7 linked regions of the Callithrix jacchus genome follow. The protein of the gene in region 1 purifies or fractionates together with the protein of each later gene. This does not show direct contact. Links are inferred from orthologs where the notes say so. Each region holds a gene or a part of one and is shown in the gene's direction. Other genes may lie near its edges.

Evidence for each region.
Region 2: the proteins of EZH1 (region 1) and AEBP2 purify together in Homo sapiens (affinity purification with mass spectrometry; 3 studies listed by BioGRID and IntAct, with this or other methods). This does not show direct contact. The link is inferred for Callithrix jacchus from reciprocal best matches to the Homo sapiens genes EZH1 and AEBP2.
Region 3: the proteins of EZH1 (region 1) and PHF1 purify together in Homo sapiens (affinity purification with mass spectrometry; 5 studies listed by BioGRID and IntAct, with this or other methods). This does not show direct contact. The link is inferred for Callithrix jacchus from reciprocal best matches to the Homo sapiens genes EZH1 and PHF1.
Region 4: the proteins of EZH1 (region 1) and PHF19 purify together in Homo sapiens (affinity purification with mass spectrometry; 4 studies listed by BioGRID and IntAct, counting the BioPlex papers as one, with this or other methods). This does not show direct contact. The link is inferred for Callithrix jacchus from reciprocal best matches to the Homo sapiens genes EZH1 and PHF19.
Region 5: the proteins of EZH1 (region 1) and RBBP7 purify together in Homo sapiens (affinity purification with mass spectrometry; 4 studies listed by BioGRID and IntAct, with this or other methods). This does not show direct contact. The link is inferred for Callithrix jacchus from reciprocal best matches to the Homo sapiens genes EZH1 and RBBP7.
Region 6: the proteins of EZH1 (region 1) and RBBP4 purify together in Homo sapiens (affinity purification with mass spectrometry; 4 studies listed by BioGRID and IntAct, with this or other methods). This does not show direct contact. The link is inferred for Callithrix jacchus from reciprocal best matches to the Homo sapiens genes EZH1 and RBBP4.
Region 7: the proteins of EZH1 (region 1) and JARID2 purify together in Homo sapiens (affinity purification with mass spectrometry; 4 studies listed by BioGRID and IntAct, with this or other methods). This does not show direct contact. The link is inferred for Callithrix jacchus from reciprocal best matches to the Homo sapiens genes EZH1 and JARID2.

What each region holds. Positions count from the first base shown.
Region 1 is NC_133506.1:121,168,938-121,173,180, forward strand, and holds part of EZH1 (histone-lysine N-methyltransferase EZH1), read left to right. Parts: intron 1-1,748; coding exon 1,749-1,869; intron 1,870-3,577; coding exon 3,578-3,754; intron 3,755-4,243.
Region 2 is NC_133510.1:3,958,886-3,963,128, reverse strand, and holds part of AEBP2 (zinc finger protein AEBP2), read left to right. Parts: intron 1-1,404; coding exon 1,405-1,472; intron 1,473-3,279; coding exon 3,280-3,393; intron 3,394-4,243. UniProt on the Homo sapiens protein: Acts as an accessory subunit for the core Polycomb repressive complex 2 (PRC2), which mediates histone H3K27 (H3K27me3) trimethylation on chromatin leading to transcriptional repression of the affected target gene.
Region 3 is NC_133505.1:41,643,255-41,647,973, forward strand, and holds the start of PHF1 (PHD finger protein 1), read left to right. Parts: upstream 1-1,712; 5' UTR 1,713-2,245; intron 2,246-3,293; 5' UTR 3,294-3,309; coding exon 3,310-3,468; intron 3,469-3,553; coding exon 3,554-3,635; intron 3,636-3,742; coding exon 3,743-3,838; intron 3,839-4,238; coding exon 4,239-4,339; intron 4,340-4,451; coding exon 4,452-4,600; intron 4,601-4,719. Other genes in the region: kinesin-like protein KIFC1, read left to right, coding at 701-745; uncharacterized protein LOC128931737, read right to left, coding at 498-522, 1,231-1,712. UniProt on the Homo sapiens protein: Polycomb group (PcG) that specifically binds histone H3 trimethylated at 'Lys-36' (H3K36me3) and recruits the PRC2 complex. Involved in DNA damage response and is recruited at double-strand breaks (DSBs).
Region 4 is NC_133502.1:169,276,808-169,281,050, reverse strand, and holds part of PHF19 (PHD finger protein 19), read left to right. Parts: intron 1-1,350; coding exon 1,351-1,551; intron 1,552-2,312; coding exon 2,313-2,394; intron 2,395-4,243.
Region 5 is NC_133524.1:17,115,322-17,119,564, reverse strand, and holds part of RBBP7 (histone-binding protein RBBP7), read left to right. Parts: intron 1-896; coding exon 897-1,070; intron 1,071-2,065; coding exon 2,066-2,181; intron 2,182-4,243. UniProt on the Homo sapiens protein: Core histone-binding subunit that may target chromatin remodeling factors, histone acetyltransferases and histone deacetylases to their histone substrates in a manner that is regulated by nucleosomal DNA.
Region 6 is NC_133508.1:69,258,956-69,263,198, forward strand, and holds part of RBBP4 (histone-binding protein RBBP4), read left to right. Parts: intron 1-76; coding exon 77-203; intron 204-322; coding exon 323-400; intron 401-2,066; coding exon 2,067-2,143; intron 2,144-2,232; coding exon 2,233-2,290; intron 2,291-2,379; coding exon 2,380-2,490; intron 2,491-4,243. UniProt on the Homo sapiens protein: Core histone-binding subunit that may target chromatin assembly factors, chromatin remodeling factors and histone deacetylases to their histone substrates in a manner that is regulated by nucleosomal DNA.
Region 7 is NC_133505.1:15,226,225-15,230,467, reverse strand, and holds part of JARID2 (protein Jumonji), read left to right. Parts: intron 1-1,414; coding exon 1,415-1,917; intron 1,918-4,243.

The sequences.
Region 1 (4,243 bases):
ACAAGATTGTAGTTATTTGTTCTAAACAGTGTATATTGCAAGTTGTCAATCAGACTCTTGAGACTTGAGCAGGTTGTCTGCTCTGTTGATGGAGAGAGTCGACAGAGTCGACAGAGTCGACTCTCTATCGATTACTCCATCGACAGAGTAATCCTTTCTGAATTCTCTAAATGCAGGCTGCTACAAAAACAACTGAGGCAACAGTTGTGTACATAGTCTTTTCATTTGGACCTTTGTGCTGACTCCTACTAGGATTATTTGTGGTTTTGATAATCAGTCCTCTCTAAATACTGCCATTGCTTGTCATCTGCCTGGTGACAGATAGCAGTACTACTGGTTGGAATGAGGTCAAGGTTTATAGAAGGGAATTATCTCTTAGGATAAAACTTCAGAATAATTTTACTTGCTTCTTGGGGGTTTTAGAATGACTGTATTCTCTGCTGCGCACCCCACTCCCCCAAAAGTATTTACTATTGTTTATTGCCAGAAAGTATCTATAGCCTGGGCTGCAGATGACCTTAAATGCTCATTGAGTGTGATTGGCATGAGTTGTAATCAAATTGTTTTTTTATTATGGGAGAATCTTAGTCTGTTTTATAGGATTCCCATCGGTCTTATGATTGCCCAGTTTATTTTGTAGTTAAATTGCAGATTATAATCTTAGACGCTTTCTTTTTCTTTTTCTTTTTTTTGAGACAGAGTCTTGCTCTGTCACCAGGCGCCAGACTGGAGTGCAGTGGCAGGGTCTTGGTTCACCGCAACCTCCGCCTCCCGGGTTCAAGCAGTTCTCCTGCCTCAGCCTCCTGAGTAGCTGGGACTACAGGCGGGTGCCACCATGACCAGCTAATTTTTGTATTTTTTTTTTTAGTAGAGATGGGATTTCACCATGTTGGCCAGGATGATCTCAATCTCTTGACCTCATGATCTGCCCGCCTTGGCCTCCCAAAGTGCTGGGATTACAGGCATGAGCCACCGCGCCTGGCAGAAGCTTTCATTTTTATTTATCTATTTATCTCTCTACTTATGAAAACAATTAGAAACTTTTTACACTGTTGTTTGGGTGATGTTTGTACCTGTTTCATAAAGATGTTTACTGGATAAAATGAGATAATACATGAAAGCACTGCAAAAAATATACCGTCAAATTCTCGGCGTTGGTGAAAATATCATTGTTACTATCAAGCTAAACATTTGGTAGTTAATATTATCAACTAAACAGATCTTTTTTTCTAAGCATGACATTACTCCTACCATTTGAGATTTTTGTTTGTTTGTTTGTTTGTTGTTGTTTTGGAGATGGAGTCTTCCTCTGATGCCAGGCTGGAGTGCAGTGGTGTGATCTCGGCTCACTGCAATCTCTGCCTCCTGGGTTCAAGCGATTCCCCTGCCTCAGCCTCCTGAGTAGCTGGGACTATAGGTGCATGCCATCACACCTGGGTAATTTTTTGTATTTTAGTGGAGACAAGGTTTCACCATGTTCGCCAGGATGGTCTCCATCTCCTGACCTTGTGATCCACCTGTCTCAGCCTCCCAAAGTGCTTGGATTACAGCTGTGAGCCACTGCTCCCGGCCCCATTTGAGATTTTTTTGGCAAAACAAAATGGCCAGTTCAATGCAGAAAACTTTTGAATAAAGGCATTTTTTAGGAGACTCAAGCAGCAAACAAAGCTCAGCAAAGATTCTGCTAAATAGGAAAGAGGAGCTGCATCATGGCTTCATGGAATGAATTACATCCGATTTGATTTCAGGTAGAAGATGAGACGGTTTTGTGCAATATTCCCTACATGGGAGATGAAGTGAAAGAAGAAGATGAGACTTTTATTGAGGAGCTGATCAATAACTACGATGGGAAAGTCCATGGTGAAGAAGGTAGTGGTGCTGAACTCTGGGAGAAAATTTTGTTAGAATCAGGCCTCTTCTTTGGCATCTGATCATCTTGCCATTTTGCTTTTATCTTCTGCCACGTGGGGTACACACTAAAGAATATTTCAATGTCATCACATGTCTGGGTGTTAATTTTTTTATTTTTAGTTTTTTAGAGACAGGGTCTCATTTGGTCACCCAAGCTGGAATGCAGTGGCATAATCATAGCTTATTGTAGACTTGACCTTCTAGGCTTAAGTGACTTTCCTCCTTCAGCCTCCTGGGTGGCTAGGACTACAGGCATACTCCACCACACCTGGCCAAATTTTTTGTAGAAATGGAGTCTCACCACATTGCCCAGGCTGGTCTTAAACTCCTGGCCTCAAGCAATCTTCCCACGTTGGCCTCCCAAAGCCCTGGGATTACAGGTGTGAGCCACCAGCCTGGCCCAAAATACCCTAGTTATTTCCTTTTTTGCTTTTTGTTTTTTATTACCCTAGTTATTGCTGATTCAAGCAGCAGAAACAGAAATAAAAATTATTTAAAGTACCCTAGTTAAATTTTAAATGGAGTTGGGACATGAAAGGATTATATAGTAATCAGTGGCTGGAGAGGAAGTTTATTATATAAATAAGTTTAATCTTAGAACTTAGGAGTTTTCCATAAGTACATCCAAGACCATTTTGTTCTTTATTTCTCTTTCTCTGAGAATAGTAATGAGCCTCTCCGTCATACTTCTTTGATCCAGGTATCTCCTGGATCTCCCAGAAGTTGATTTTAATAATCTGAATTTCCTAAAAGCAAATTGTTTGGATTTAGTTGTAATTCTAGAAAAGTCTGTCCATGTCTAAGAAATGGAAGGAGGAGAGACTCCCCATCAATTTGTAAACTAACAGCCTCACCTGCTCTTCTGACAATTGTGAGGGCTGTTGTGATGCTGTTGAACTACATTATTTGTCCTCAGTGCCTCCTAGTGTTCAAAAACCTATATTGTAGTAGTTCTCCATAAAGTACAATTTTAGGAAAAAGTTCTGTCTTTTGATTTAGAGATGTCATTACTGACTCATCAGCTGCAAAGCCAATAGAATTTTCATTTTATTTTTTTTCTTTGTCCTACTGGAGATTGTGTAACACTTTTTTTTTTTGAGATGGAGTTTCACTCTTGTTACCCAGGCTGGAGTGCAATGGCACCATCTCAGCTCACTGCAACCTCCACCTCCTGGGTTCAAGCAATTCTCCTGCCTCAGCTTCCCAAGTAGCTGGGACTACAGGTGCGTGCCACCATGCCCAGCTAATTTTTTAATATTTTTAGTAGAGACAGGGTTTCACCATGTTGACCAGGATGGTCTCAATCTCTTGACCTCGTGATCCACCCGCTTCAGCCTTCCAAAGTGCTAGGATTATAGGCGTGAGCCACCACACACAGCCTGTTTGACACTTTGTGAGATTTTGAACCATAAATTCAGATTTGACTTGTGACTGAGAAAGTGAAGTTCTTCAGTAAGAATTAAGCCTATAACTGTATTCCTACTCTAGCCAGCTGAACTTGCATGTGTAGGAGCCAATCAAATGACTGTAATTTCCAGAAATCCCATATAAAAATGTACACCTGTTACTTATCTGGGCCTCTGGAGTGAGTACAAGAAAACCTGCCTAGGAGGACTCATGGAATGCAAAGTGATCACTGCTCATCCTTCTAATCCTTTTGTTTCAGAGATGATCCCTGGATCCGTCCTGATTAGTGATGCTGTTTTTCTGGAGTTGGTAGATGCCCTGAATCAGTACTCAGATGAGGAGGAGGAAGGGCACAATGATACCTCAGATGGAAAGCAGGATGACAGCAAAGAAGATCTGCCAGTAACAAGAAAGAGAAAGCGACATGCTATTGAAGGTACATAGCATGGGCTCCCTTATTCTGTTTTTAAAGTGATGGTGATAGGGAAGAAGGAAGAATGGAAAGGTTTGTTGCCTATTAAAGGCTGTCGGTCCTTTTTGTTGGTTTACTTAAAAGGAGACAATGATCATTAACTGATAGCTGCAGATAGCTGTGACTTAGGTGAAGAATAAACTAGAAGAACTGATAGAATAATCATTGTTATTCATTTCTAATTATATGTGTTATGTGAAATTGGGATCATGCCAATATATATATGTATATATTAAATTTTGTATACCTTTTTATTTACTCTTATGAACACTTTTCCATGTCACTAATGTTTAATTTAAAATTTAATAGTTTAATTATACTCTATGTTATTTAATTATACTATATGTCCAGGGACATAGTGTATTCTCTCTTATTATATCATAATTATAGTATCAGTCAGTTCTTCAGTATCCACTTTATGGTAAGATTCTTCTATGTTCAGATCTCTCCATG
Region 2 (4,243 bases), on another chromosome or scaffold:
TGTACCACACTTAGAGTGACCCTTTCAGAAGTCCTCAGGGGAACTGTTGAAGAGTTTATCAGGAAAGTGATACTACGGAATTTGTACTTTGGGAAAAGCCTTCTGGGTATTGAAAATAGCTTTGATGACTTGAGGAGGTCCAGAAGAAAGGAGACCTGAACTCGGATAAGTTACGGCAGTGGCTGGAGATAATAGGTATTAACAAGTACAGTTCTTAGATCTCAGTGTTGGGATATTTGCTCTCCCCTTTTTAGGCCTGAAGTGATAACGGTGTTCCCTGTAATACAAACATCCTTGAGCACAGAGCTTTTACTGAATCTAGGTTTATTTTTTTAGAATGGAGTTCCAAACGGTTAATTAATTGATTTTATACTAAACACTGCTATAGGTGGTATGACCCAAAGGGTTCATAGAGTAAGAAAAGACCTATGTCATGGGCTTTTCAGCCTTGTGGGAAAGACAGAGAGGTTTGAGTGCTACAAAGCAGGGAAGAACTACAAAGCACGATGTAGTGGCGGTACTATCTTTTCCAGGGTATGAACACTTAAGTTCTTGATTACAAGTGTTTTTTTTATTTTATAATTTTTTTTTTTTTTTAAACATAAGAGATGGGTTTTCACCATGTTGGCCAGGCTGGTGACCTCAGGTGATCCGCCTGCCTCAGCCTCCCAGAGTGCTGCTGGGATTACAGGCATGAGCCACTGTGCCTGGCCCCCCTTTATTTATTTATTTACGTTTATATCTATCTATTTATTTATTTATTTTTGAGATGGAGTCTTACTCTGTCGCCAGGCTGGAGTGCAGTGGCACAATCTCGGCTTACTGCAACCCCTGCCTGGGTTCAAGCGATTCTTCTGCCTCAGCCTCCCGAGTAGCTGGGACCACAGGCGCGTGCCACCATGCCCGGCTAATTTTTGTATTTTTAGTAGAGACGGGGTTTCACCATGGCCAGAATGGTTTCAATCTCTTGACCTCGTGATCTGCCCGCCTCGGCCTCCTAAAGTGCTGGGATTACAGGTGTGAGCCACTTTTTTATTTTTTAATAAGATGAAGTCTTACCCTGTCTCCCAGACTGGAGTGCAGTGGCTCTGTCTCGGCTCACTGCAACCTCCATCTTCTGAGTTCAAGTGATTCTCCTGCCTCAGTCTTCAGAGTAGCTGGGATTACACGAGCCTGCAACTATGCCTGGCTAATTTTTGTATTTTTAGTAGAGATGGGGTTTTACCACATTGGCCAGGCTGGTCTCGAGCTCCTGACCTTGTGATTCACTCACCTTGGCCTCCCAAAGTGTGGGGATTACAGGCGTGAGCCACTGTGCCCAGCCCCAAAAGTGTTTTTTTAACAATGCATGAAAATGATGTTTTGCAAATTGTTTTATGATTTTTTTTTTCATTTCATTATTAGGTAATAGCTAAGAGAAAAGAAGATTCTGGGAAGATAAAACTTTTGCTTCATTGGATGCCTGAAGATATGTAAGTATTTGAAATACCCTGTGTAACATTTAATAAGTTTATGTTTTATTTTTTTAAAATCCTAAGCACAAAAATTATTTGTTATTAAATTCAAACAAAAATTACATTGTAAAACATTTTGAGGTTGTCAGGATTAAAGAGATAATCTGAAAAGTCTTAGACTATCTGGTTTACCTTACAGGCTTTGAAACTTAAGGTTTTTTTGTTTAAGCTGGGAGCTGTGGCTGCCACCTGTAATCCCAGCACTTTGGGAGGCCAAGGCGGGTGGATCACTGAGGTCAGCAGTTTGAGACCAGCCTGGCCAACATGGTGTAACCCCATCTCTACTAAAAATGCAAAAATTAGCTGGGTGTGGTGGCATGCACCTGTAATCCCAGCTACTCGGGAGACTGAGGCACAGGAAGAAGTAGTCGTAGAAATTTTTAATCATTTTTAGGATTTTTAGGGACCTCCAAGCAGTATACAAGCAGCCATAACTGTGCCTTTGTTTGAATCATTTATTTTAAAAATTTGTAAATGTTCTCTAGCATACAATGAATGATATTTTATAGAAAAAGCAGTTGACCAAAAGAAAAAAAATTCTTCTGATTGTGGTTTTGCTGTACATCAAAAAAAAAAAAGGCAATTGACTAGTTTTCTAGCAGTGATTACATTTTTTTGAGTTTTAGTGCCTATTCATAGCACTTTTGACCTAGATGTTTCTCAGTTCAGATATTTCATGTTTAATTTTCTTTTTATCTTTTTAATTAAAATTTTCATTTTATAAAAAGGAAATCAGGGTATCTTACAGAAATTTTGGACAAAATTTTTAAGTATCAAGAATTGAATAAATGTAATTGAAAGAGATTTTATTATGCATACCAAATTCACATATGCGGCCAATAGCTGGGCACAGTGGTTTATGCTGGCAATCCCAGTGCTTTGTGTGGCTGAGGCAGGAGGATCGCTTTTAGGCCAGGAGTTTGAGATCAGCCTGGGCAACATAGTGAGACCTCGTCTCTACAGGAAAAAAAACAAAAAACAAAAAAATTAGCTGGTTGTGATGTTGTCGCCTGTAGTCCCAGATACTCAGGTGGCTGAGGTGGGAAGATGGATTGAGCCCAGGAGGTTGAAGCTGCATTGAGTTGTGATTGAATCGCTGCCCTCAAGACTGGGTGACGGGGCGAGACCCTGTTCCAAAAAAATCAAATTTAGATGTGTGTATTCTAATGTTTTGAAAGTTGATTAATCCAAATATCAAAATACATTTATTTTAATTTTCTTACAGAGTTGAATTTTTTTGAATTTAGTATTGTAGCCACATGCTTTTTTTTTTTTAAATGGAGTTTAATCTTCCAGGGTTTTTATCTATTTATTTATTTATTTTTGAGACAGTCTTGCTCTGCCGCCCATGTTGGAGTGCAGTGGTGCACTCTTGGCTCACTGTAACCTCTGCCTCCTGGGTTCAAGTGATGCCTTGGCCTCGGGGGTAGCTGGGATTACAGCTGTGTGCCACCATGCCCAGCTAATTTTTGTATTTTTAGTAGAGATGGGTTTTTACCATGTTGGCCATTCTAGGCTTGAATTCTTGGGCTCAAGTGATCTTTCCCACCTTGGCCTCCCAAAGTGCTGGAATTATAGGCATGAGCCAACATGCCAGACCCTTTTATTTCTCTCTCAGTAAAGAAATTTGCTAGCTTCCGGGAAACTTGGCTTCCGGGAAACTTGTTCACTTAATATGGACAGAAAATGCCAGAATGTGCAGGCACAGGAAGTGTCAATCTAAAATGAATGTTATCTTACCGTTGACTTGTTTTTTAATTCATAGTCTGCCTGATGTGTGGGTGAATGAAAGTGAACGACATCAGTTAAAAACTAAAGTAGTTCATTTATCAAAGCTACCCAAAGATACTGCCTTGCTTTTGGACCCAAACATATACAGGTAATTTAATTCTTGCCTTTATGTTTTACTTTTTGAATTGTAATTTTCTCTCCCCCAAATTTGGATAAATTAGGACTTAGTTTTCAGAACCGAATTTTAATATCAAGCATATCTTACTACTTCCTGGCATTTTTTTCCTTTGGTGTGTGGACTCACAAAAAGTTTAAAAATTGTACAATCCAGGAAAATAGTATTTTGCTAAAGTTTATATGCTTGTTTAATCCCAGATTTATCTTAAGTAGTAATTTGAAGATAAATGCCCTTTTAACAAGGTAATTTCTTACATAGTAACAGACTTTTGTGGACCTAATACGTTGCATGAGTCTGAAATACCAAAACTGTTTTGATTTTTTTTTTGAACTTACACTTTCTCCAAACTTTCTGAAAGAGCAATTCAAATATTATTTGTTTGTTTTTTTATATGTAGCTTAGAGTGTTCACATTTCTAGTACTTTTATGATTTGAGTTTTTTTAGTGTACTATGCTTATAAAGGTATGGGGGGAAGGAGAAGAGACCAGAATTTCTGTCTGTGTGCTAAGTCACTTTGCTAGGTGCTTTGTATACTTTATCCTCACGGCTGCTCTGTGAGGTAGGTTTTACTGTCTCTGCTTTACAGATTGGAAAACTGAGGCAAGAGGTTAAATAGTCTACCTAAGGTCTACAGAATGTGATTGAACTCCATGGTGCCTCTATCCAAATGAGGTACATTAGAGTGATTTAAAAAGTGGTGGCAATGCTTAAAACCAGCTTTTAAAAGGCAGTCTTACCGAAAGGGCTTTATGTCTTTTTGAATGAAACTTTGTGTATTTTAGCTGTTGTAAAGATAGCTAATTTTATAGTGACACTTTG
Region 3 (4,719 bases), on another chromosome or scaffold:
AGTTGATACCCTAACAGCTTCCAAAGGTGACCAATGAAGGTCTATCTGAGCGTTACTTTTTTTTTTTTTTTTAGACAGGGTTTTGGTCTGTTGCCCAGGCTGGAATTCAGTGGCTCAATCAAAGTTCATTGTAGCCTCCAAAGGTGTTGGGATTACAGGCGTGAGCCACCGAGCCCGACCACAGTCATTCTTTCTGATGCTCAAATTGCCCCATATTTGGCCATTAGGAACCTCCTTCAGGTTGGCGCCAGTGTCCTTTAGACACAACCCTAGTAGTCTTTTTTCAGATTCAACTTGTACATTTCCTCCTCCAGACTTCAACTGATCCACTTTTCTAAGGAGTGCTAATTCCTAAATGGGTGCTCGTTGCTATTACTATTTTATCTCAGTTTAAGGATTTTACAGTGGAAGAGGTTGGAGGTCTCTAGTAGAGAGTATTGCTGGAAATGAAAGCCTCCTCTCTCCGCTCCTGTATTTTGTTGTGGGGCTTCCATCTCTCAGGCCTTTTCACCTCCTCCAAACCTAGTGTGGAAAGGAGAACCAACCATAACTGAAATCAGCCTGAACCAGCCTTTGGAGGCCTTATTTCAGTATTCCTGAGGGCAGCCCCTAGCATTGGAGGATGGGAGGAGATCTTAAGAAAACTGTTCTTTTGGTTATTTTGCAAACTTTTTTATCCTGTCTCACCCCCTACACCCAGGTGAACCAGTGTGTTATTGGTACTGCCCAAGCCAACAGGAAGTGAAGACGGATCCAGATCTTGTGTGTTGGGGGTGTATGTGTTGGGTGAGGGGTGGGAGGGTTACTGAAGGGTGCTTTATTGGGTGGAGGGCGCCATGTCCCAGGGCTATCAAATAAAGAATACTTTTTTTTTTTTTAAATAAAGGTTTTCATTAGCATTTGCCCAAGGAGGCAGATACTTTCATATCTGTAAAGGTGGGACCTGTGATCTGTCCCTTCTGCAAAGTGTTTGTGTGGGAGGCGGGAGCGGGGGTTGAGGGCTTGGGCTTTTCTCCCTTCACCTGTCACCAGTTCTGGACCCTGGTCTGGATCATCTTCCCCTCTGCTAATGCCCCGTTCCCTGTCCGTCACATCGGGAGGTGTGCCCTCTAGCTATCCACGCCCCTTCCAACGTAACTAGTTACAGATTAAGTTTCACCCTTCCGCCCGCCACCTCATCCCCAGGGAGGGAACGGTCCTTTGGTGGGTGTCCGCAAATAGGGACCGGACCTCGGAGTCCCGAGGTGGGGCCGGCGCGCGCTCCCGAACTGCTGGCTCTTTCCTCCCGCCCTTTCCTTGCCTTTCTGTTCGAACCGCTGGGGCTCTGCCCGCCCGCTGCCCATTGGCTGGCTCTCGGTGGCGTCACCGCCTCGGGTACTAGCCCCCTTAGTCTTTGCGCCCGCCCTGGAAGTACGGGGCGGGACGTGCCCGGGAAGCGGCGCGCACGACCGCCGACTTCCTCGCGCCAACGGTCGACGGCCGCCGCCCGTGAAGGAGGGGCTCAGTCCTCCCAGGTGCCGCGCGCAGGAGGGGACACGCGTGCGCAAAAGGGCGGCGGGTGGGGCGCGACTAGCCACGGGGAGGGCGGGGCTGGGGCTAACAGCGAGTGGAGGGCGGGGCGCGCGAGGGAGGGCGTGGTGGGGGCAACGGGAAGGGTGAATGGAGGGCGGGGCCGCGAACTGGGGGCGGGGGGCGGGACTCGGCGTGACCATGGGGGGTGGGGCAGCTAACGGATGTGGCACGGGGCGGGGGACCAGTCCGGAGGCGGGCTGCCGCGAGGGGGGATTCCCTCCTGCCCCAAGGGCGAATCTCAGGTCTGAGGAAGGGGCTGAGGGGATTCCCTCTCCCACTGGGTCCGACTCTTCGCTCCCCAAACCGCGGAGGGCCAGCCTCTTGCTCGGCGCCCTCCAGGCCTGTTGGAGGTGAGGGAGGTGGGGTGAGGTGGTGCCCGGCCCCCCTCCGGCTCCTCCTTCCCCCCAGTCCTCCCCTCCCACCACCCTCCCCCCCAACCGGTCCGTCCCTCCCCTCCTTCCCCCCCGCCGCCTCCTCCTCCTGCCGCTGCCGCTGCTTTGGCTGCTGCGTCATACGCCCCAGAGCCGCCGGGACGGAGGGGCTGGGCCTGGGGACCCCCCGGCCTCCGCCTGCACGCCCCCCGACGCCCGGACGTGCCCTCTCCGCGCGGGGGACTCGCCTAGGTCTACTACGTCTGCCCCTGCCCAGCTCCCGGCGGCCCCAGCTGTCACCGGTAAGGAGGCGCCGGTGGGGGGCAGGGAGCCGGGGGTCGGCGCGGGGCGCGGGCGGGAGAGCCTCGTCGTCCTGGCCGCGGGGTCCTGGTTGGGCCGACGCAAGTCCCTTCTCGGACTTGCAGTCCTGGGGAGTAGAGACCGGGACTCGGACACGCCCCCCTCCCGGGGCACTCAGAGAAGTTGTCTAACCCGAGGGCAGGGAGCCCCGAATTTGAGGGTGACCTGACATAACCTGGCACCAGGATGATTGTTCTTAATGAGACACGCAGGCCTGGGGAGACAGCCGTTTCTGCCCTGGAAAACATCTCTAGAAAAGGTCCCAAAATACATTTCTGGGCAACAGGGCACCCTAATTATGGTACCTCTAAACTGAGGGGTAGCCTTTGCTTCTGCAAACGTAATTTCCCCTAAAATTTAAAGGCCAGGATATAATATCCCAGGAGAGCTCTGGAAGCTGTGAAACTAGAGAACTAGGTTTGGGTCGGGGGGAGGGCAGTTACCGAGAGTAGAGCCAGTCACTAGAGTTGGAAGAGTACTCAAGAAGCTGGTGATGGGTGCCCAGTGTTTTCCTATCCAGGTGTGTCAGGATTGGGAGTTGGGGGCACAGATCCTTCATTTTTGACGGCAAAATAGGCAAATAAAATGGGGAAGCTGGCTGGGCGCGGTGGCTCATGCCTTTAATCCCAGCACTTCGGAAGGCCGAGGTGGGTGGATCACAAGGTCAGGAATTCGAGACCAGCCTGGCCAATGTGGTGAAACCCCATGTCTACTAAAAATACAAAAATTAGCCGGGTGTGGTAGTGTGCACTTGTAATCCCACCTGCTTGGGAGTCTGAGGCAGGAGAATTGCTTGAACTGAGGTAGAGGTTGCAGTGAGTAGAGATCACACCATTGCACTCCTGGGCGACAGAGCAAGACTCCATTTCACACCACTGCACGCCTGGTGACAGAGCAAGACTCCATCTCAGGGAAAAAAAAAAAAAAAAAAAGAAAATGGGGAAGTTTTCTCAGCATTCATAACCTCTTCCCCATTTCTTTTCCGGCTAGCCCCCCCCAGGATGCAATGGCGCAGCCCCCCCGGCTGAGCCGTTCTGGTGCCTCCTCACTTTGGGACCCAGCTTCCCCTGCTCCCACCTCTGGCCCCAGACCTCGACTTTGGGAGGGTCAAGATGTGCTGGCCAGATGGACTGATGGGCTGCTATACTTGGGCACCATCAAAAAGGTAAGACCTTCTACCTCTGACCTTCTTCCTATTCCCCTTATCTAAGTCTGGTTCCCATTTCATTCTCTATGCTCACCCATTGCAGGTGGACAGTGCTAGGGAGGTGTGTCTGGTCCAGTTTGAGGATGATTCACAGTTTCTGGTTCTATGGAAAGACATTAGCCCTGGTAAGACTCTAGAGACCTGAGATTGCACATCACATGGAAAACAAACCTGGCTTATAGGAGAAGAAAGAGACTTAAGGGCAGGCCCCTGACACTGTGTTCTCTCATAGCTGCCCTCCCTGGGGAGGAACTCCTCTGTTGTGTCTGTCGCTCTGAGACTGTGGTCCCTGGGAACCGGCTGGTCAGCTGTGAGAAGTGTCGCCATGGTAAGAGGGCAGGTCACCTGAATGGTCCAGCTTGCTCTTCCCTCCAGCACAGTCCCTATGTCACCTGTCCTGGCCTTAGTCCCCAAGCCACTGTTCTGGCCAGGCTGCTTAGCCCTTAGTCCTCATCCCCTGTAAGCCCAGGGAAAAGCAGCCATAGAAAGGGTTGGTGTAACCTTTGCAGGTAGAGGATGATTTAAATGCATCCTTTCCTAACCGTATGACCTTGAGCAAGTCCCTAAATCTCTGGGAGCCTCAGTTCCTTGACTTGTAAAATAAGGAAAATGCACTCCCTCATCAAGACCATGGTCAAGGATTAAATGAGATGAGTAAAGACTATTCCAGTCCCAATACCCAGCACACACAGGTATGCAATAAGTGGTCTATTATTATCATTCTTCAGCTTATCACCAGGACTGCCATGTTCCCAGGGCTCCAGCCCCTGGAGAAGGAGAGGGCACATCCTGGGTGTGCCGCCAATGTGTCTTTGCAATCGCCACCAAGGTAAAGGCACCTCCCTGTTACCCCTTCCTGTGGGAGCCTCCCATCCACAGCCTTTCACAAGCCTTTCCTCTCCCCACCCCGCTGAGGCCACCCACCTGTTCTATCTCTGCAGAGGGGCGGTGCCCTGAAGAAGGGCCCCTATGCCCGGGCCATGCTGGGTATGAAGCTCTCTCTGCCATATGGACTGAAGGGGCTGGACTGGGATGCTGGACATCTGAGCAATCGACAGCAGAGCTACTGTTACTGTGGTGGCCCTGGGGAGTGAGTAATGAGGGGGAGCAGACTGTGCAATGAATGATGGCGGGGTGGACCCCAGGAAATGAAGGAGAAAGAACAGTGAGGGTAGCACTCAGGGGGTTGTGAAGTAAGTGATAAGCAGG
Region 4 (4,243 bases), on another chromosome or scaffold:
CTCCCTGGCACAATGCCTTGGACATCATCCCACCCAGTCTTACAGGAGTACACACACGCACCACACAAAAACAAGCACTGGACCCTCTCCCTGTGGACAGTCATAATACCAGGTGCCCAGCGCCGTGGCCACAGGGAGGAGACCCGAGTAGGCGCGCAGGGAAAGAGCCAGGCTGTGACTCTGTAGTGGAGAGTGTGTGGAGGGGCATGGAGCCAGGTGAGTCCAGCGGGGAAGGGAGCGTTAGGGATGGCTTTGAGCACCGGTGAGGGCAGTGGAGAGCCCCAGAAGGTTTCTGGAAGGAGATTGGTGGCCCTGAGGAAGAGTCTGGTGGAAAGGCAGGAATGCAGGAGCAGCCTATATAGCACTGGGTGCTGGTAGTACCCGTTCCCCAACCCAGGTGCCTAGTGGAGGTGAACACAAGGCCCAGGAAACTGTTATTGAGTGAATGAGTGAATGAATGAATGACCCAAGCAAAAGATGAGGCCTGAACTCAGACCAGCATGGGAGGATGGAAGCTAGAACCGGAAAGCCAGAAGTCATGGCACTTAAAATGGGCAGACTACGGCAGCTCATTGCTTGGAGGAGTTTGAGATGCATGGAGGCAATGCCACTAGCAGGGAGAGAGGAATCCATGGGCAAACTGCATGCTGCTGAAAAGGATGGTGAGAGACAGGTGTGGAGAGGTTGGCATGGAGATGACTTCACTGCTTGGAGCAAATGTATATCTAGGTGAAAGCATAAGTGAGTTTAAATGTCCCAGAATTGGTTTCCATTAAATCATCTCGTAATTGACAACAGAAGGGGGATTACAAAAGACAGATGACCCCTCTACACTAGTTACAAGCCACCCAGGAGTTTTCCTTTCTAGGTGAGTTTTCTCTGGACAGATCGCAGGGAAGGGATGGTTGCAGGGGTTGGGGTTTAAAAAAGAAGAAAGAAAAAAAACCCAGCTGCTCCCCTGGATAAGACCCTCCATCCAGAGTACATGGAGTGTGTTTGCCTAAGGAATAAAACCTCAGCCTCCTGAGACAGGGAGTATGGTTCAAGCCCGCTGGGTAGGGGACTTTGTTCTGTGTAGGTTGAGAGATCTATTCACTTTAAAAGACAGTGTGGTATGGGCCGTGGCTCTGCCTTTGGCACATCAGCCTCTTCTCCTTGCCATACCTCAGTTTCCCTGTCTGTAAGATGTGAATAATATCTTCCTCATAGGATGGCCATGAGGAACCAGTGAGATAATAAACAAGCCTGGCTTATAGCACAGGATACAGAAATGCTGATTTCCTTCCTTCCCCTGATGGGCTTTCTGAAGCAGGGAAGCAAGAAGTGAAAACTCTGTTCTTTCTCTCCCAGTGTCAGGGGAAGCTGATGGAGAATCGAGCTCTGGATCCAGGGACTCGGGACTCCTATGGTGCCACCAGCCACCTCCCCAACAAGGGGGCCCTGGCGAAGGTCAAGAACAACTTCAAAGACCTAATGTCCAAGCTGACAGAGGGCCAGTATGTGCTGTGCCGGTGGACAGATGGCCTGTACTACCTCGGGAAGATCAAGAGGGTAAACCCATCCTCTCTGGTGCCTGTTCTCAGGCTCAGCATCTCTCTGCTCATGTTCCAGCTTGGCTCTCAGACTAGGGGCGGACAGGGGGATTGCTAGGGAATTCCCTTCTTGTCCCTCATGACCAAAGCTGGTGGTGGGAGGGACCAGAGCCTGGTCTTGCAGGCACCATCCAACCAGTTCTTTAGAAAAGTACTTGGAGGCCAGGCGCAGTGGCTCACGCGTGTAATCCCAGCACTTTGGGAGGCTGAGGTGGGCAGATCATGAGGTCAAGAGATTGAGACTATCCTGGCCAACACGGTGAAACCCCATCTCTACTAAAAATACAAAAATTAGCTGGGCTTAGAGGTGCACGGGAGGCCAAGGTGGGAGAATTGCTTGAACCTGGGAGGTTGGGGTTGCAGTAAGCCAAAATCGCACCACTGCACTCCAGCCTGGCAATAGAGCAAGACTCCATCTCAAAAAAAAAAAAAAAAAAAAAAAAATGAAAAGTGCTCTGAGAACCTACAAAACCAAAAAGTCAGGTTCGAGAGGATCACAGAGGACCATCTGAATTGTGCTTTGGTCCTCAGCGTTCTGACCAAGTTGTCATCAGCCAGTAACTGGCTAGGAGCCTACCATGTCTAGGAACTGCTATCATCCTTCCCCTTCTAGCTCTGCTTTCTGGAGCATAAGGAGACAAAAATGGGGAAGGAAGACTATAATCCAGGTTGGCTTTTCCCTAGCCCTTTCTCACTTGCTTCTTCCTATCCATGCCCCAGGTCAGCAGCTCTAAGCAAAGCTGCCTCGTGACTTTCGAAGATAATTCCAAATACTGGGTCCTATGGAAGGACATACAGCATGGTAAGTTTTCTTAAAATTTCGAGTAGCCCCCAACCTCCCCAGCTTTTCTCTGCTGCCTTCATTTCTTCCTTCTTTCCTTCCATCTCTTACTCCTGGCATCTGCCCTTGTCCATGAACCCCAAGCCCACCTGAGGTGATGATCAAATCTGGTTGTACATTGACTTGGCAAGGTACTTAGGACATGAGTCGTCCCCTTGAGAGTTCATACACCAGGAAGGAGGCTGGGCAGGTGGAGAAGGTAGCTCAGGGAGGTTCTTGGAGGGCCAGGACTGGGCCTCAGGCCTGTGTTTGCTTCCTGGCTGCACTGTATCACCAGCTGCTCAAAGCTCTGAGTCCAATAATTGCTTTCCATTTAAATGTCCCAGAATTGGTTTTATTTAAATGTCCCAGTCTAGGCTAGAAAGCGAATGTGCCCAGGTAATCAGAATTGTCAGCTCTAGATGCAAGCACAGTGTCCCTGATTTAACATGGGAATAAAACTAGTGGAAGCAGCCGTCTCCACGGGGCAAGGAATTCGCGGCAAATGGGAGAAAAACCAATAAAGCAGAGATGAGCCAGGCAGAGTGAAGACAAACATGCCTGGATGGAGCTAGACCAGCTTTCAGGGCTGAAAGGAAGCTGGGTTGGGTACCATCCCTGTCCTTAGAAAGCTGACATCTCTTCCTTACAGAGATGGCAAATCAGGGCCGTGTTTGCCACCATTATCCCTTCCCATGCACACAATAGATATCAGGAGTCATTGACAACACATGTGCACATGTGCTTTCAACGTGGAGTCCGAAGCAGCTACTACCTGTCAATCAGAGTTGGCATGAGAGGAGAAACCTATTTGCCATTTATACTCTAACAGGAGAAGAGGCACGGCCCCTAGTGGGGGAAGAAGCAGGTTTTAGGGTCAGGTAGACCTTGAACCAAGTTCCAGCTTTGCCACTTACTAGCTGCATTTGCCAGAGCAAGTAATACGACCTCTCTGGGTCTTAATTTCTTTAGGTGAAGGAAGGTGATAGTGAAAGTACTGGCTTCATAGAGTGGTTGGGAGGCTTAAGTGAGCTAATCCATGTAAAATGCTTAGCTCAGTGCTATTGGTTAGAGAGAGGCTGTTAATCAAGAATTTGTTACTAGCCAGGTGTGGTGGCTTATGCCTGTAATCGCAGCACTTTGGGAGGCTGAGGTGGGTGAATCACCTGAGGTCAGGAGTTCAAAACCAGCCTGGCCAACATGGTTAAATCCTGTCTCAACTAAATATACAGCTACCCAGGAGGCTGAGGCAGGAGAATTTCTTGAACCCAGGAGGTGGAGGTTGTAGTGAGCTGAGATCGCACCACTGCATTCCAGCCTGGGCAACAGAGTGAGACTCCATCTCAAATAATGATAATAGTAATAATTTGTTACTGTAAGAGATGATTCCAAGAAGCCTGCCACGTAGAGGCCACAGAACCCAGCTGGTTAGTAAAGCTTTCAAATTGCCCCTTTCTCCAAGAAGCAGTGACCAGTGGAGACCGATTTTTCTCCAAATCCTGAAATGTATAAAGATCCAAAGCAATGAGGCTCTTCTCTCCTGGTTTACCTCCTTATTGAAAGCACAAAGAGGCGGATGGAGAAGCCCATTCACCTTAGCTAACCTATGTAGGCCCACCACATGCCAGGCTCCATGGAGGTACCACAGTGATCAGCTGAAGAATAGCTTTACTCCTAGCCAGAATTGCCCCTTCTGGGCACCCGCTGGCATCTCCCGAGGTGAGAGCATAAGGCTGAGCACAACTGTAATTATTGATCCATTGCTTCATTAGGCCAATGAGGACTTACCGAGACACACTGTGGGCACCATCTTCCTGGGAGCATGTTCAAG
Region 5 (4,243 bases), on another chromosome or scaffold:
CTTGACCTGACACACAGGGTGAGTTAAAATGGAATGTGCAAAGAAAAGGCAATATAGGTCAGGAAGAAATAACACAATTGTAATGTGAACCGTCCTATCTTTTTACATGTCAGCAACTAATTCAAGTTTTTAATCTATGAGCACAAAAAAGAACGTCCTTGTTTGCCGCTCTTTGCTTAGATGTTCTCTACTTGTATTCTTTCTGCTAATATGTTGCTACTTCTTGGAAGTTATCATACTTTTTATATGGCTTTGTTACTTTACAAGGCCTTTTTCATGATTATTTGATACTACAGTCTTATTCACACACCAGATGGAGAGGTTAACCTTGGCACTGCACTAGCAGCTAAACCAAGTATGCTAGCAGGGCCAACATATGTGTGTTTAGGGATGGGTAGGGGTTAGCATGGGTTTTTTTATTAATTTACGGATGCTCCTGACTTTAGACTCATAGAATGTTCATACTCCTAAGGGTAAAACCTTTCCTGTTTTGTTGAATCCTAAAATAAGATGCTAATTCAGTGCAGCGCTTCCAAATGAGTTATATTTGAACTAAAAAACTGTTGGTCTGCTTATTATATGGTTCTTTGAAATCTCAGTGAATATATCATCTTCATAACTGAAAGAGGACAGTTGTTTTAGATCCAAGGTGGAACCGAATTAAGTTGCATAAGGCAGCTACCAATATTTTTCAATGAAAATGGGAATAAATTGATGTGGCAAATGAGCTCACATTTTTTTGATTTTTCTCTCTCTATGTATGTCTCTGTCTTTGCCTTGTCAATTTGTGTTGTATTCTGCCAGGTCAAAATCTGTTAGGTTGATTAAAATAAGTGATTTGTGAATTTTAATCCTGATTGTGTGTGTGTGTGTTTATTTCTTTCTCCTCACATTAGAATTTGGTGGCTTTGGTTCTGTAACAGGAAAAATTGAATGTGAAATTAAAATCAATCATGAAGGAGAAGTAAACCGTGCTCGTTACATGCCGCAGAATCCTCACATCATTGCGACAAAAACACCATCTTCTGATGTGTTGGTTTTTGACTATACAAAGCACCCTGCTAAACCAGGTATGTGGTAAAGTCAGGCCATTGCTTGAGCAGTTTTCTTGATTCAAACTGGTAATGTTTTTAAGGTCAAAGTAGCATACTTTATAATGTTTAAAGATTTAAAAGTTGCTTTGGAGGGTCCCATAATCATCCTCAAGTTAAGGAATTTGCCAGAACTGCCTAAAAGCAGTTTATACTCAGAGCTAAAATTTATTACAGCAAAGGATTCAGAGCAAAAGTAGGAGGAAAAAGATACACATCAGGGGGAGTCCAAAGAGGTTAGCTACAGGTGTGTGGGTCCTTCCCATCTAGGGCCACATAGGACATGCTTTGTCTCTAGCAGCAAACCACAGGGACATTTGCTAAATGTTTCTATCGAGGGCAGCCCATTTAAGTTTCAGAATCGGGGGTTTTTGTGGAGGTCTGTTTGCGTGGGCGCATCCTGTTCTTTGACTAGCCATGATAACAAAAGTGAGGCCTCCAACAGTGAAGCCAAATGCATTGTGAATCTTGCTAAACAATTCTACAAGTCTTAACAAGTCCCTGTGACATACCCCACTGCTCTGGGCTTACACAACTTTATCAGTCAGTGACGCGAAGGACTTTCTGAGGGTCACATTCCCAGAGGTTGTCCAAGGGTCACTTATGAATCAGGATACCCTAGAGGCATGCAAGGAGTGAGCAACCAGACCTGCTGTATTAGAAATACTTCTAAAAATTGGGAGGTGGGGGATGGGTTACCACTTCCCAGATTTGTGGGATAGCTATAGTTTTCAGTGTTTTTGTGTTGAGGGTAGTAGGTTTTCCAAAGAAACCAATCATTTAATGGTTCTGAGGCTCAATTTGTGTTGGATATTAAAAACAAAGCCAAGAGAACAGCTTTTTAAAGTGGTTATGGGTCAGACCAGATCTTGTTCATGTGCAGTTGCTGTAATGGCTCACTCAATGAAGGAGTGAGAATTTATTCTCACAATTTCTGATAAACAGAGAATAACTTAATATTTTTCTTTTCTTAGACCCAAGTGGAGAATGTAATCCTGATCTCAGGTTAAGAGGTCACCAGAAGGAAGGCTATGGTCTCTCCTGGAATTCGAATCTGAGTGGACATCTCCTAAGTGCATCTGATGACCATGTGAGAAACGTATTCTTTGTAATCTGTTCATATAGTGGGAGCTAAAGTATCACAGCTGTACTGAAGGAATACTATATAGATGAAAGGCTTTCTAAGATAATACTGCTGATTATTGTGATAACATTTCCCTGGGACTTAGAGAGATGGTTTTCATACTGCCCTATATGAGTCTTCAGATTCCACAGAGCTCTTTTGAATTAGCCTTAGAACGGAGGGAGCATAGGCAAAAGGCCTTCCATTATTTAAAAGAGGACCCTCCAGGCCCTTATAATGGAAACTGTAGAGTGTTTGTGGGGCCTGATTGATATAAAGTATTTTTAATTGTACAATTCAGTGGCTTTTAGCATATTCACAAAGGTGCACAACTATTGCCACTAATTCTAGAATATTTTCATTCACTCTCGAAAAGAAATTCTATACCCATTAAGCAGTGACTCCCCACTCATTCCCTGCTATCCCCTAGCTCCTAAGCACTACTTTATTTTCCATCTCCATAGAGTTATCTATTCTTGATATTTCATGTAAATGGAATCACATATGCAGCCTTTCTGTTTGGCTTCTTTCACTTAGCATAATGTTTTTTTGTTGTTGTTTTTTTTTTTTTTTGAGACAGAGTTTCGCTCTTGTTACCCAGGCTGGAGTGCAATGGCACGATCTCGGCTCACCACAACCTCCGCCTCCTGGGTTCAGGCAATTCTCCTGCCTCAGCCTCCTGAGTAGCTGGGATTACAGGCACATGCCACCGTGCCCAGCTAATTTTTGTATTTTTAGTAGAGACGGGGTTTCACCATGTTGACCAGGATGGTTTCGATCTTTTGACCTCGTCATCCACCCGCCTTGGCCTCCCAAAGTGCTGGGAATACAGGCGTGGGCCACTGCGCCCAGCCAGCATAATGTTTTCAAGTAACATTTCTTATGTTCCATTCCTTTTTATGGCTTAACAATATTCCATTGTATGGATATACCACAGTTTACTTATTCATTTATCAGTCGAACCATTTGAGTTCTTTCTACTTTTGGGCTATTTTGAATTATGTTATGAACATTTGTGTACAAGTTTTCGTGTGGATGTATGTTTTCATTTCTCTTGGATACATACCTAGGAGTGGAATTACTGGGCCATATGGTATCTCTGTTTAACTTTTTGAACAACTATCAAACTGTTTTCCAAAGTGGCTTTCCATATTACATTTCCACAAGCAATGTACAAATGTTCCGGTTTCTCTACATCCTCACTAGTGCTTGTCTTTTTTTTTTATTATAGCTATCCTAGTGTGTGTAAAGTGGTATCTGCTGGGTTTCTTTGTTGTTGTTTTTTGGGGGGGGGTGGGGGAGGGGTTTTGTTTTGTTTTGAGACAGTCTGGCTGTGTTGCCCAGGAGCGCAGTGGCACAATCTCAGCTTACTGCAGCCTCCACCTTCTGGGTTCAAGTGATTCTCCTTCCTAAGCCTCCCAAGTAGCTGGGATTACAGGCATGTGCCACCAGGCCCAGCTAATTTTTGTATTTTTAATAGAGACAGGGTTTCACTATGTTGGCCATGTTGGTCTTGAACTGCTGGGCTCAAAAGATCCTCCTGCCTTGGCCTCCCAAAGTGCTGAGATTGACAGGCATGAGTCAGCACACATGGCTCATTGTGGTTTTAATTTGCATTTCCCTAATGACTAATGATGATGAGCATATATTCTTTTATTTATTGGCCATTTGCATATCTCCTTTGATGAAATATGTATTCAAATTCTTTGTCCATATTTTGTCTTTTTATTGTTGAGTTACAAGAGTTTCTTATGTATTCTAGGTATAAGTCCCTATGGTTTTCAGAAATTTTCTCCCATCCTGTGAGTTGTCTACCTTTTTTTTTTTTGAGGCAGGATCTTACTCTGTCACCCAGGCTGAAGTGTAGTGGCACATTCTTGCCTCATTGCAACCTCCGCCTCTCGGGCTCAAGTGGTTCTCTACTTCAGCCTCTCAAGTAGCTGAGACTACAGGTGTACAGTGAATTTTTGTGTTTTTTTTTTGTAGAGATGGAGTTTTGCCATATTGCCCAGACTGGTCTTGAACTCCT
Region 6 (4,243 bases), on another chromosome or scaffold:
TTTCTAAATATATCGTCTAAGTTTTAAGTTTAGTCACCATTTCAAGATTTTTTTCCTTTTTTCCTTTCCACTGAAGTTGGGATACTCGTTCAAACAATACTTCCAAACCAAGCCACTCAGTTGACGCACACACTGCTGAAGTGAACTGCCTCTCTTTCAATCCTTATAGTGAGTTCATTCTTGCCACAGGATCAGCTGACAAGGTCAGTTTGGTTTATTTTAAAAGAAAACATAATTTCTCCAGCTTCTTTTGAATTGCAGAGATATTTTACTTAAAGTATTTTCTTATTTTAAAAAATTGATTACTCTTTTCTTTTTGTAGACCGTTGCTTTGTGGGATCTGAGAAATTTGAAACTTAAGTTGCATTCCTTTGAATCACATAAGGATGAAATATTCCAGGTAAAGGAAACTAATGCTGCTAATTTTTTTTGTTTTAAGAACCTAAATTGGGCGCGGTGGCTCATGCCCCTAATCCAAGCACTTTGGAGGCCAAGGTGGGCGGATCACCTGAGGTTGGGAGTTCAAGACCAGCCTGACCAACATGGTGAAACCCTGTCTTAAAATTAAAAAAAAAAAACCTGAATGTGTAATGGGCACACATGTGCTACATGCTGTTGGTAAAAATAGAAATCTGTATGCCTATGCTACTTTCTGTGGGAAAGTTTTTTCTTTGTTATTTCTATACTTTTTCATACTGGTTATTGACCACATACATTCTACAGGTACTAAGAAAACTAGGCCAGGTTTGGTGGCTCAGGCCTATAATCCCAGCACTTTAGGAGGCTGAGATGGGCAGATCACTTGAGGCCAGGAGTTTGAGACCAGCCTGGCCAACATGGCAAAACCCTGTCTGTCTGTCTGTCTGTCTGTCTGTCTGTCTGTCTGTCTCTGTCTCTGTCTGTCTCTCTCTCTCTCTCTCTCTCTCTCTCTCTCTCTCTATATATATATATATATGTGTGTTATTTATTTATTTATTTTTTGAGATGGAGTCTCACTCTTTTGCCAGGCACCAAGTTGGAATGCAGTGGTTAGATCTCCGCTCACTGCAGCCTTTGCCTCCTGGGTTCAAGCAATTTTCCTGCCTTAGCCTCCATGCCCAACTAATAGGTGCACGCCACTATGCCCAACTAATTTTTGTATTTAAGTAGAGATGGGGGGGTTTCACCATGTTGGCCAGGTTGGTCTCGATCTCTTGACCTTGTGATCCACCCGCCTCAGCCTCCCAAAGTGCTGGGATTACAGGTGTGAGCCACCATGCCTGGCCCCTGTCTCTATATTTTTTAATAAAAATTTAAAAAGAGAAAAACTAGTGCCTGATTATTTTTTTCAGCCTTGCTTCTGGCACTTAGTGGTCTCTTCCCTTGTTCCAATATATTCTTCATCCTTCATTGCATGCCACATTATTGGAACACTAAGCATGTGGGAGTTGTTTATCCTACTGCTGAAGGTCATCACCAAGGTCTGATTGCAAAAATGTAAAAAAATAATTGTTACACTACCTTCAAAGCTTGTTGCTAGGTTATTGTGAGAGATTACATTGTAGTCTTTGATGTCCAAGAGGCCCTCCTCCCACCCACGTCGTCGTCCCCACGCCCTTGCCCCTGCCTTTCTTTCTTTCTTTTTTTTTTTTTTTAAGATGGAGTTTGCTCTTGCTGCTCAGGCTGGAGTACAGTGGAGTACAGTGGTGTGATGTCAGGTTGAAGCAGTCCTCCTGCCTCAGCCTCCTGAGTAACTGGGATTACTGGTGCATGCCACCACAACCAGCCAATTTTTTTATTTTTGGTAGAGACAGAGTTTCACCATGTTGGTCAGGCTGGTCCTGGACGCCTGACCTTAGGTGATTCACCTACCTCAGCCTCCCAAAGTGCGAGGATTACAGGCATGAGCCACTGTGCCCACCCGTAAAATAAATTCTTTGGCTTTTAATTTTAACTGTAGTGTCTATAATACTTTGACTTCCTCTTCGTTTTTATTTCATTTTTAAATCGTTAAATATTTTGTGATTTTTTTTTTTTTTTCCCCTTTGTTTTCATGGCTTTGCTGTTTCTTTCATTCCTGTGCGTAGGTTCAGTGGTCGCCTCACAATGAGACTATTTTGGCTTCCAGTGGTACTGATCGCAGACTGAATGTCTGGGATTTAAGGTAATTCATGTATTCATTACTCTGTATATATAATTATTTCCTTTATTGACACTTTGCAAAGGTAATTTTAAATTATGCTTTTGTGCTAGTAAAATTGGAGAAGAACAATCCCCAGAAGATGCAGAAGACGGGCCACCAGAGTTATTGGTATGTTACAGGCACCGAACAGTACTGAAATAAGTCTATAATTTAATGTCCTCTCTCTGCATTTAACATCTTTATTTTCTTCCTTACAGTTTATTCATGGTGGTCACACTGCCAAGATATCTGATTTCTCCTGGAATCCCAATGAGCCTTGGGTGATTTGTTCTGTATCAGAAGATAATATCATGCAAGTGTGGCAAATGGTAAGGATCATTTATTTGGGGGAGGTGAGATGAGAAAGCCATTGAATCAATTTACATTTATATGTTTTATGATTACAGCTACCATCTGTGTTCATTTTACTCCCAGGTGTGATTTTTTTGGGGGTAGGGGAAGGCAGGAAGGGAGGGAAGGAAATCAGGCAATGAGAGACATTGCCGACCTGGATCTAGAGGTTTACAAGTTGATTTATTTTTTAATTAATTAATTTATTTTTTATTGAGAGAAGGAAAGAAAAAAATGAGTAAACGAGAGGGAGAAAGAGGAAGAGAAAGAGGGAGGGTGGATGGAAATATTGCTTTATTCTGAAAAAAAAAATGGGTATTAATAATGGCCAATCAGTGTTTCATTTAAACCTATGAGTAGGTGTGATGTGGTTTTGACAAGAATGTATATTTTGTGTATTTGAAGTGGAGAGCTCTATAAATATTTATTAAGTTTACTTGTTCCGGATCTGAGTTCAAGTCCTTGATATCCTTACTAATTTTCTGTCTCATTGAATCTAAGTCTCTATGTATCTGGGTGTTAGGATTGTTAGCTCTTGTTGTTGCATTGATCCTTTTACCACTATATCTTTGTTGTTTTAAAATCTATTTTATCTGTGCAACTCCTGCTTTTTATTTATTAATTAATTTATTTTTGCTCTCCATTTGGTTGGTAAATCTTTCTCCATCCCTTTGTTTTGAGTCTTTGTGTATCCTTGCCTGTGAAACAGGTCTGGATGTAACATCCCGTTAGGTTTTGGCTGTGCCTTTTGATTGGGGGATTTAGTCGTTTTAAATTTAGGGTTACTGCCATTTGATGTTAACTGGCTGTTTTCTCCATTCGTTGATGTAAATTCTTCTTTATGTTGGTGCTCTTTACTTTTTGGTATATTTTTAGAAAGGTTAATACTGGTTGTTTCTTTCTGTGTGTCATGCTTCTTTCAGAAGCTCTTGTAAAGCAGGCCTGGTGGTAATAAAATCTCTGAGTACTTGCTTGTTCGTAAAAGATTTTATTTTTCCTTCAGTTGTGAAGCTTAGTTCGGCTGGATATGAAATTCTGGGCTGAAGGTTCTGTTCTTTGAGGATATTGAATATTGGCCCCCACTCTCTTCTGGCTTGTAGAGTTGGTCTGCTGAGAGATCTGCTGTAAGTCTGATAGGCTTGCCTTTGTGGGTAACCTGAACTTTCTCTCTGGCTGCCCTTAGTATTTTCTCCTTCGTTTCCACCTTGGTGAATCTAACGATTATGTGCCTTGGGGTTGCTCTTGAGGAATATCTTTGTGGTGGTCTCTGTATTACCTAGGGTTGAATATTGACCTGCTTTGCTGGTTTAGGAAAATTTTCGTGAATAATATTCTGAAGGGTATTTTCCAGCTTGGATTCATTCTCTCCATCGCATTCAGGTACACCTATCAAATGTAAATTTGGTCTTTTCACATAGTCCCACATTTCTTGCAGACTTTGCTCATTCCTTTTTATCCTTTTTTCTCTAATCATGTCTTCTTGTTTTATTTCATTAAGTTGGACTTTGACCTCTGATATCCTTTCTTCTGCTTGAACAATTTGAGTGTTTAAACCTGTGCATACTTCTCAGAGTTCCTGTATTGTATTCTTCAGTTCCATTAATTCATTTATGTTCCTCTCTAAGTTGTCTATTCTCAATAGGATATCATCAAACCTTTTTTCAAAGTTCTTAGTTTCTTTACATTGGGCTACAACATGTTCTTTTAACTCACAGAAGTTTCTTATTATCC
Region 7 (4,243 bases), on another chromosome or scaffold:
CAGGTGCTCTTGCATTATAATCTGAGGGTGAAATGTGAAAGTATAGATCCCTCTTCTCTTTGACCTCGGTTCTGAGTCACTGGGACAGTGGAGTACTTGTTTCAGTTGGGGCACTCATTTTGGTGTCTACCTCCATAAGGGGCCCAGTGCCCACCTGCCGTCAGAGGAAGAATTTACAGTTGTCAGCCAGAGACCACCCGTGACTCTGGGAGCTTGAGACCTGGAGTGAGTTGCCGAGTCTCAGACCCCATTAGGTCCTTCCTGTGGAGACTGATAACAGCTTCCTCATTGATGTTACCCCACACCTCTCTTCTCCACAACCAGCCCAGCCCAGTGTCCTGCCATTTAGTGGGAGTGGAATTCAGGCTTCTGTGCCCGCATCCTTGGTCTTGCTGATGTGCCAGGAACTCGTTCTCGTGCTATGTCTGCTGAGGCAGTTCAGACACTTCACCTGGTGGGCCCCGCTGTGCTTGGTGTCTGCAGGAACCCTGCCTGGATGGGATCTGTGCCCACTTTCCCTTTTATTATTTAAAAACAATATATCTCCACACTCCAAAGATGTAAAGCTTTCTTAATTTTTGCTTTGTTTAGCATTTTATGGATGATTATTTTGGAAGATTCCCCCCTCCCCTCTCCCTTATTGGCCCGAGAGAGGTTGCTTTTTCAGTTCCCATCTGGAGAACCCACTAGGTGTGCATTAAACCTGTTGAGGGTTAATATGCATTTGCGCTCCTCTGTGACCTGATCAGGAGGGGCCCTGAGCACCAGCTTACTCACTGAGGAGTAGCCTCATGGGCAAGGGACAAGGCTAAGGGACAGACAGACTGCCCTGTGCCCTCACGCAGTCGTTGCTCTTTGCTCCCGACATCCAGTCAGGTTGAAGATAGACTTCCTTTGTGTGAATGAGTGGGTGGGTGTTGGGGCTTTCAGAAGGGAACTTGGGAATTGCTAGGAAAGGTGTGTCTGTAATTTCCAACATCAGATATTCCAGGTTATGCTGGGAAGTGGATGCAGCTGGGACCCCTGCCCGCTCCTCATCTGGGATCTTCTCATGACCCCTGCCTCCATGTGAGAACGCATGCACTAGTGCGTTGGGATGTTTCTCTCCTTATGTCCGTCTGGCCAGCTCTATTCCTCTTCCAGCCAAGCCCCAGCTTTAATGCTGCCTCCTGAGACACTTGTCACCTAAGATGGTGGCCCCTTGTTCCACTCGATCTTCATCGCACATGGCCGTGACCCATCACTGTGTAATGCCTGTCTCTGTAGACCAGAAGCCTACCATTTCCATTGTCTCCCCAGAGGCTGCCAGTGTCCTGGCTCATAGGAGGAGTTCAGGAATTACAGGTTGAATGAGGAACATCTTGTTCGTGTCCCTTTCACTAACTATCCCGTTTTTCCCCCTTCACCGTCCCAGGGGGCTGCGAGCTCGACCTGGCCTGCTTTTTCCGGCTAATTAATGAGATGGGCGGCATGCAGCAAGTGACTGACCTCAAAAAATGGAACAAACTAGCAGACATGCTGCGCATCCCCAGAACTGCCCAGGACCGGCTGGCCAAACTACAGGAGGCCTACTGCCAGTACCTGCTCTCCTACGACTCCCTGTCCCCCGAGGAGCACCGGCGGCTGGAGAAGGAGGTGCTGATGGAGAAGGAGATCCTGGAGAAGCGCAAGGGGCCACTGGAAGGCCACACAGAGAACGACCACCACAAGTTCCACCCCCTGCCCCGCTTCGAGCCCAAGAATGGGCTCATCCATGGCGTGGCCCCCAGGAACGGCTTCCGCAGCAAGCTCAAAGAGGTGGGTCAGGCCCAGTTGAAGACCGGCCGGCGGCGACTCTTCGCTCAGGAAAAAGAAGTGGTCAAGGAGGAGGAGGAGGACAAAGGCGTCCTCAATGACTTCCACAAGTGCATATATAAGGTAGGGGCCTGTGTAGAGCAGCCAGCGCTGGCGGCAGGAGTGCAGGTGGCACGAGGAAACAGGGCGTGCTGTGTGCTGGACAGTGCACCCTCTGACTCCCTGGGGTGATGAGGGAGGGAGCGGGCCACTGTGCTGGATGAGGGCGTGGTTTTTTTGTTGTTTTTGTTTCTAAGACAGTCTTGCTCTGTGGCTCAGGCTGGAGTGCAGTGGTGCAGTCTTGGCTCACTGCAACCTCTGCCTCCTGGGTTCAAACAATTCTGCCTCAGCCTCCCGAGTAGCTGGGACCGCAGGTGCATGCCACCACACCCGGCTAATTTTTTTGTGTGTTTTTAGTAGAGATGGGGTTGCACCATGTTGGCCAGGATGGTCTTGATCTCTTGATCTCATGATCCGCCTGCCTTGGCCTCCCAAAGTGCTGGGATTACAGGTGTGAGTCACCTCTCCCGGCCAAGGGCGCTCTCTTAGTCCACTTCATGCTGCCGAAATAGCACAGACTGGGCAATTCGTAATGAACGGAAATGTATGGGCTCATGGTTGTGGAGCCTGGGAAGTCTGATATCCAGGAACCTGGTGAGGGCCTTCTGGGTGCATTGATGGAATGTTGGTGCAAGGTCGGGCAGTGAGAGACCCAGTAGGGAGGGGACGTCCACTCCACGAAGACACCACGAGTCCATTCCTGCGTGCCCAGGGCCTCAGGGTTCCTTTTCGTTAGCTGGCTTGTGTGTGCATGTTGCATGCACATGCACATGTCCTCATCTGCCAGGGATAAGTACCGGGGCTGCATGCTTCGCTTCCCCTGCGTCCCCAGTTCTTTTTGCACCTGTCTCATCCTGGTGCATGACAGCTGCCCAGACACAGCTGACCTCACTGGCTGGACCCTCAGTGGACTCTGCACGCTTGTTTTCTCTGCGTCCTCATTTCCATCCGCTCAGCTTACTGCCAGCCCAGCAGTGCCAGGTTCTTTCTGTGGACGGTCATCCCTGATAAAGCCATTCCAGTGGATCTTGCCATTCACACTCTGGAGGGAAGAGTAGGGGAGAAACAAGCTAACTGAAATACGCGTGTTTCCCCCTCCGCCAGTTCTCACCGCAGCACAGTCATCCTGAGGAAACTTACCTCCCGGAAGCAAGGGAAGCAGAGTCGCTGGCTCTCCTCCTGGCGCCCCTCCCAGCTGGCCTGGCAGTGAGGCCAGACTGGGGGCTTCTCCGGCATGCGAGTGGGTTGCGGGGCTCCCGGGGCCCAGCTGGACAAGCCCAGCTATGACCTGCAAGTTGAGGTCTCTGCTGAATTGCCCGACACAGACTTGCCCTCTGTGGTCCTAGTTCTGGATTCACTGGGAGGGAAGTGTTCTCTGCTTCCAGCCCTGGTGAGCCTGGCCAGAGTGTGTGGGCATTGGCTGTTGTTCATCCCAGAACCCCGCCACACCCTCAGGTGCCCACGGCTGCCTGACTGCAGGCTCTGGCCTAACCTTGTAGTTGAGGCAGTGTGGGCTTCTGAGACCATCACACGTCTTGGAAACGGAGGGATAGCTGACGCCACCACCTGCATCGCCGCTCCATTTTACGTCCAGGCCCCGCAGACTGCCTCAGGCTGCATCTCATACACTTGACGCTTCTCTGGAAAGAGGTTCCCCAGTCTTTCTGTCCTGAGACCCTGAGAGGGTTTGGCCTTTTATCTGAGTCTCGTTTCCTGTTTCCAAGGCTGCCTGGTGGGGGCATGTGGGGGTTGCAGGATGCTGCCTGCCAAGACCCAGCTGCCTTGTATTTGACTGGTCGGTGTTCTTAAGAAAAGAGAAAGTGTGACCCAGATACTGTAAGCTCTGGGGAACTTTTATTTGGTGTTTCCTGAACGTTTTAATGAGAAGCCTTTGTCAAGTAAAGCCACTCACTGAATCCTGTGACTCTGGATAGCCAACTGGTGAGATGAGATACTGTCAACGTTTTCACTTTTTACTGAAGGAGGCCAATTGTATGAGTGTTTGCTCCGAATAAGAGGTTTGGGTTTTTAAAAACATACCCTGTCAAGGATATTTCTAGATTTCATCACGGAAACATAGTGGACCTCTGCCTGGTGGCCGTGGCGAAGCCCCGAGGCAGCCGTGTGCCCATGCGGTGGGGACCCTGAGCGTGCAGCTGTCTGCGGCCCTGGTGTCCTGGCTGCTGACTTTTGTGTGCTGGCGTCATCCTCACTTCCACTCATTGTACTCTGCACTGGTGCAAAATTCAGTCCCTCCTTGTAGTTACCTTTGTTTGTTACAAGAAACAGTGTCGGCAGTGGCTTGGAATTGCATGAAGTATGTTCCTGTAGTTAGCACCCCATCTAGTCC